Linked DNA regions of Ovis aries. The protein of the gene in region 1 binds, or shares a complex with, the protein of each later gene. Links are inferred from orthologs where the notes say so. Each region holds a gene or a part of one and is shown in the gene's direction. Other genes may lie near its edges.

Region 1 (3,651 bases):
GTAACACAGATTCCCCTAGGGAGGGAACTGTGGAGCCCTAATATTTTTATAGTAAAGAGATTAATTAAACAGGGAGTATAGAAAAAAAAAAACCCTCATGTTTGATGAGAATTAAAGTTTATATGAGTTAATAGTACCTTTAATACTGCTGTCAAGTCTTTCAGGGCATTGTGACTGACACAGTCAATTGAAGTGTCCGGGAAAAGTGTACTGCCTTTTGACCTTTACTTCTAGCATTATATGTCATCAAGACTAAGTGAGAGAAAGAACAGAAGGAGTTTGCAGAAAATATAGATTGTTACAACAATCTGTGTTAGTCATTGCACTGATGACTGGTTTCTGCTTTATTCTGCCACCATATTCTGACACCCTGGATGGAGATCTAATAGTCAATTGAGAAACAACGCTGGTTCTCAGAGTTTTTCTTTCCATAAATTAATGCTTTATTTCTGCTATGCCACACACCTTTAGATCCCTGTGAAAAACAAAGAAATAGCTTCAGAATAGTGAGATGAAATGATAAAGACATATTTTGAGTAAATTAGTATTAGAGACATATGAGTAGAATTTGCTATTACGCTATAAAAAGTCCTTTAGTTGTTTCTAGAGTTCACGTTTTTAGAATCACTGTGATGCAGTCCTCATTACATCAAGAAAATCTGGATTATCATTTATATCAGAACCATTATTATCAGGAAATGGTCTTATTTTTTATTTCCATGCTGGTAGTCAGATGAGGAAGTTTGTATTTGTCCTTTGAGAAGTATTTCTTTAAAGAGATATGGAACTAAAATCCATTTTATTCCTGAAAGTTAGTATACATATTATATATGTTTTAAAAACCCTGAGAATTCTCTGGCAATCCAGTGGTTAAGACTTGATACTTTCACTGACATGGGCCTGGGTTTGCTGTCTGATTGGGGAACTAAGATCCCATAAGCTATGCTGGTGGGGCCCAAAAATAAACCAAAAAAACCACCTATTTTTGCATGTTTTTTTCCAGATAATTTTCAATGGGAAAAATACTTGGAAGAGACTGGATCTTTAAGTGCTCCTTCAGAGTATTTCAGACAGGTATGCCAAAATTCTGTAGATACCATGTTATATTTATTTTTGTAAACTATTAACTTGTTGAAGGGAATCTGTTATTAGGTTCTATTAGTGTGAAGCAATGTGGGATTGTGGGAGTGCTGCTTAAGAACCAGATGGTCTCTTCGCATTCATTGATTAAGAATTTACTTTATGTCAGGTATACTAAGCTCTTATGACTGCCCATCTGGAGGGAAAGGTAGCCATGTAAATAATTAATGATAAAAAGTGTGATAACTATACTGGAAAGGACTCACAGAAGAGGTCCTATCTGAGGTAGTTGTAATGAGGGGAAGGATATTCCAGGCAGAGAGAACATCCAAAGGAAAGAGACATGGGCGTAAAAGAACCTGAGTGTTGAGGGATGGTATGGGTGGCTGGAGCACTAAGTAGATAGAGACCTAAGTATGGGAGTGAGGTTAAAGTGTGGTGGCTTTTAAACTATACTGACTGTTTGGACTTTACATTAGGCAGTGGTAAGCTGCCTTTTGGCTTACTTTAAGAGTAAAGGCCTAATCAAATTCTTATATTAGAAAGGCACTCAGGATGCATTTTAGAGGTTGTATTTGGTTTGCCTGGAAGTGGGCAGATGAGTGAGTGACAAGCAGTGGGCAGCCATGTCAGGCTGTGTGTCAAGCCAAGGAGAGAATTTGGAGATCTTTTTGTTAACCCTTACAGCTCTCATTTTGTTCACCAACTGTTGTAACTGTTACTTAAAATGTTCCTCATGTATTCTGGTAACATAACTGACCGTTTGATTTTCCTACAGTTAAAGAGTTTTAACAGAATTTTATTTGTATGTGTTTATGTATATAGTCTAAGATTCCACCAGCTAATGACTTCAAAGTTGGCATGAAGTTGGAAGCCCATGACCCTCGCAATACGACTTCAGTATGTATTGCTACAGTTGTTGGAGTTACAGGTGCCAGGCTGCGTTTAAGATTGGATGGTAGTGATAACCAAAATGACTTTTGGCGGCTGGTTGATTCTCCAGACATACAGCCTGTTGGGACATGTGAAAAGGAAGGGGACTTACTTCAGCCTCCACTGGGTAAGGATAAACAGTTTTAAAACAAAATATTTTTGCTAATGTAATATTCAGTAGAAATAATTTTAACTGACCCTTTGAAAATCTCTTCTCCTAGGCATTCTGGCAAACAGACGGTCAGGTGGTTACTGTGGAGAAGGTTTGAGAAAGTAACTCAGTACCATATGTTATAGAGTTTCATTTAAGTACATATTTTGGCATATGTGTGGCTAAAGGTTCCCACTCCAGAGCAAGACTCCTTCTGCCTTAAAACTTGAAATGTCAAAAGCAGATTACACTTGCAGATTCAGAAACCCTTCTGGGGGAGAAGTTTGTAGCATTCGATATGAGTCACTTCCTCCCTCAGTATTGTCTAATGAGCCATTCATCCTTTTTGTTATGGGGATTAGCATGGCAGAAGGAGATGATTTTACACTGGGACGCCAGTGTTAGGCTTGGGAATTTCATTACACCTGTATGGGAAGAAATCATAGTGAGAGGGGTAGGAATCAGTTACTTTAGGTCTTTGTAAAGGAAGAGATTGATGTAACACTTCAGCAAAGGTTTTTAATATAAAATTCTTGATTTTAACCAAGTTTTTAAAAGAAACAAAGTACATGACCCTAATTTTGTGCAAAAATTTTTCTGTTTTAATACTTTGGTGTACCATGGTATTCTGTAGAATATAAGTATTTAGTTTATTACTTGCACATTCTGAGTGAATGGTGGGTATTGGTTTTTGTTTCTTTTTTATAATGCTAAAATGTAAATGCTCTATTATAATGCACAGTGAGACAGTTAATTTTTTTTGTCTCCAACTAGTGAAAGAAGCTGTGAGAATAAAAAATTTAAGACAGTAATAACTGTTTTTTCTAATAACATCATTTTATATTGTCTTTCTTCTAATGGTTAATTAATACTAACTTGGTTTAAAGTATTTTTAAAAACTAATCAAGTATGTGTTATTCCCAAGAAGATGGTTTAGGATATGTGTGTTTTCTGCTTTTCCCCTTTTCTTCATAACATTCAAATTTTTTTATTGCTTATTTTTATAATATCTTAAATCATACAGACTTCTGTAACAGATATACATCTGAGGCTTAGTGCTTCCATGTTTGGGTTTTATTTCTCTATTGACAGTATGCTAGTATGTGTTTGTATTTTGTTTAAAGGAAACAGCTGTGGTGATTGTCAGCATTTCAGACACATAACCAAATTTATAATCATTATTTTTTCAAATTACTTTTTAGAGTTTATTAATTAAAAATATGAAATATATAGCAATACATGCTGACTAGTATGCATTGTGATACCACATAATAAAAAAATACAATTTTTGCCAATTTGCTCATGAGATGCTTTTGAATAGTTTAGTTTCCATTTTAATATAACACAACTTACATAGTTTTACTTTTTAAAAGGTTTATTTATTTAAATGTTAAAGGATATTATTTAAAATTATTTTTTAAAGTTTTAACATACATGGAAAAAAGTGTATGTCTGACTCTTTGCGACCCCGTAGATGGCAGCCCACC
Region 2 (2,644 bases), on another chromosome or scaffold:
ACGCTTCACCGTCTGAGCCACTACCTAAAGCAGTTGCTTTACACCTGTGGGTCTTTTAAAGTCATCAGTTGGGGTAGAGGAAATCTTTCAATCGTTTTCTCTTTTGTGGCCCCCTGCAGAAAAAATTAAAATCTTTTCCGAAGAAGTCTAACCTTACCCTTTCCTCCCCACCCCCACCGCCGACTTTTCTCTTGCAGCTGCTTCTGCACAATTTGCAGCTTTTACTGCTTCCTCCGTTCCCCACCCCCAGCCCAAGCACGGGGTTTTGCTTCTCAGTCAAATGACAATTTCTGTGATTAGCTAAAATAATGTAACGCTCTTATTTCATCAAAAATCGACGTTCTTGTGAAATGGTGGATGCCATGATCATGGCTTTAAATCAGGAGGTTCTCATTTCTTAAGAAATCCCTTGAGAAAAACGGAACTTTGAGCAGTGTCACCACTCTAGGAGATAGGACTGTTTTCCCAAAAGGTTCATACTGTGAAAAAAGGCAGCAGTATTTAAGTATGATTCATAACTCTTTCCCAGGACTTAACACCATGAGGAATGAATATTTTGGTAAATTGTGCTCCCTGTACCTAGTCCTGACGAATAAGCCTTTCCAGTAGGAAAGCTTTATTGCAAATATTTGCTTATTATGTACCTATCCTCACCCATCTCTATAGCACAAAAAATATAGTGTTGTTGTTAAAGCAGAAATAAAAGAACCCTCAGAACACAGGATGGCTGGGAGGTGGGGGTGGGGGTGGGGTGGGGAGTCCTAAATAGTCAAATTGAACCGCATGATTTTAATGCTTGATTCAAAAGAAGGAAAAGTGTGGCAGAGTCAGGATTCTTGTAATGGCAACATAGGGTTTTTGTTGTTGTTGTTTGTTTTGCTTTGTTTTTAGTATTTACTTAAAAATCAAGCTTAGAACATTTTCAAGTTAGAGATCTCTTTTGCTTACAAGGGGTTTTTTTTTTTAAGTGTCAATAATAATAAAGGTAATGTGTCAAAAATTTCGGGCATACTCAGCCCGAACTGCTAGAGGCATTTCTTGCTTGAGTGCTTAGTATTTGTTGACTAAGTTAACTAAGGAGTAACTCTCCTTCCTGATTTTTCTGTTTCTTACCACGGTTCCTTAATTTTTAAGACATTCTTTTCCTGAGAGCGACGGAGGAGGTTGAAACCTCAGAATCCGCTAAATTCAGCCGAACTCAATAAATTCAATGGAACCCCAACCGCGGAGCAAGCGGACCTAGATATTTATATCAGCGGTTATGTAAATGAGGACTGAGAAGTTTGCTCTTTTGATTGGAGAAAGGTGGAGAAGGTGGTCCTTCTGCCAGCGTCCTAATTGGGAGCCTGCCTGTCATTGGTCACCGGAGCCAAGGAAGCTGCTGAGCCCAATGGGAAGGCGCTGCCTAGTGTCAGCAAAGTGTTGGTAGAGGCAGTTCCGGTGTGGTACGTTGCATTCTTGTACTAGGAACCGGATCGCTGGGTTTTTTCCTCTCGCTGGAGTTTTAGGCGAGAGACAAACATGTCTGGTCGCGGAAAGCAGGGCGGCAAAGTGCGGGCAAAGGCCAAATCCAGGTCGTCTCGAGCGGGCCTGCAGTTCCCAGTGGGCCGAGTGCACAGACTGCTGCGCAAGGGTAATTACGCGGAGCGAGTGGGCGCCGGGGCGCCGGTGTACCTGGCGGCGGTGTTGGAATACCTGACGGCGGAGATCCTGGAGTTGGCTGGCAACGCCGCGCGGGACAACAAGAAGACCAGGATAATCCCTCGCCACCTGCAGCTCGCCATCCGCAACGACGAAGAGCTAAACAAGCTTCTGGGGAAAGTGACCATCGCTCAGGGCGGCGTCCTGCCCAACATCCAGGCCGTGCTGCTGCCAAAGAAGACGGAGAGTCAGAAGACGAAGAGCAAGTGACCCTGATGCCGCCACAGGGGAGCCGGCTTCCCAGCAAGGGCTCTCTCCAGAGTCGCCCCGCCCGCAGTGTTTTTGAATATGCTTGATGTTATGGAGAGCCGGAGCCATCTAGTGGGGAGGTGGGCGGCGAGACCAACTGGGTCCGGGGCCCAATAAAGTCGGTGAAAATCGTCTGGTCGAGAGAGCTGTGTAGTCGCGGGGCCCTGCCGGGAGACCCAGGGGCGACCGGGAGACCTTTGGAAGAGGTACTGGTGGGTCGGCTTGAGCCACTTTCTGGGCAGCTTTGTTCCGCAGCCACCCTCGAGGCGCTACGGGCGGATCAAGGGAGACCAGAAGGGACCCACTGGCGTGGAGGTGGGCAGAGTCGGGGGCTTTCCCTGCTCGTCCGGAGGCAGAGGCAACGCCGAGTAGGTGCAGATGAGGCTGGGCCAGTTGTTTTTACATCCGCCTCCCAGGGCCTGTGCTCCCTGTTAGGGCAGTTCCGGAACCAGTTCTAGGAAAGAGAGTGATGAAGATGTGGTCTTGGGCAGGAGGTTGTCTGTCCGGCCACACTTTTCAGAAGGGAGAATAACTTTGGATCTTGGAAGAGTAGCTTTGACGACACGGTGTCAATTTAACAGATTTTTCTTGGCCTGACAGCTGTTGTGTTTTCTTGTTTGGGGTGTCAGATATTTTTGTGTGCACGCTTATGTTCACATTTCTTTAAAATGAAGGAACCATCCAGTAATATGTG

The links. The genes of interacting proteins can lie anywhere in the genome.
Region 2: the proteins of SCML2 (region 1) and histone H2A.J are in contact, whole or in part, in a crystal structure (PDB 4EDU), measured with the Homo sapiens proteins. The link is inferred for Ovis aries from reciprocal best matches to the Homo sapiens genes SCML2 and H2AJ. Residues at the interface, in NP_006080.1 of Homo sapiens: Asp182, Asn185, Tyr187, Leu188, Cys190, Phe206, Trp209, Phe213, Pro239, Pro240, Gly241; in NP_808760.1 of Homo sapiens: Leu35, Arg36, Lys37, Gly38.

What each region holds. Positions count from the first base shown.
Region 1 is NC_056080.1:16,602,799-16,606,449, reverse strand, and holds part of SCML2 (sex comb on midleg-like protein 2), read left to right. Parts: intron 1-1,003; coding exon 1,004-1,074; intron 1,075-1,905; coding exon 1,906-2,140; intron 2,141-3,651. UniProt on the Homo sapiens protein: Putative Polycomb group (PcG) protein. PcG proteins act by forming multiprotein complexes, which are required to maintain the transcriptionally repressive state of homeotic genes throughout development.
Region 2 is NC_056056.1:200,765,242-200,767,885, reverse strand, and holds histone H2A.J, read left to right. Parts: upstream 1-1,452; 5' UTR 1,453-1,521; coding exon 1,522-1,911; 3' UTR 1,912-2,084; downstream 2,085-2,644. UniProt on the Homo sapiens protein: Core component of nucleosome. Nucleosomes wrap and compact DNA into chromatin, limiting DNA accessibility to the cellular machineries which require DNA as a template.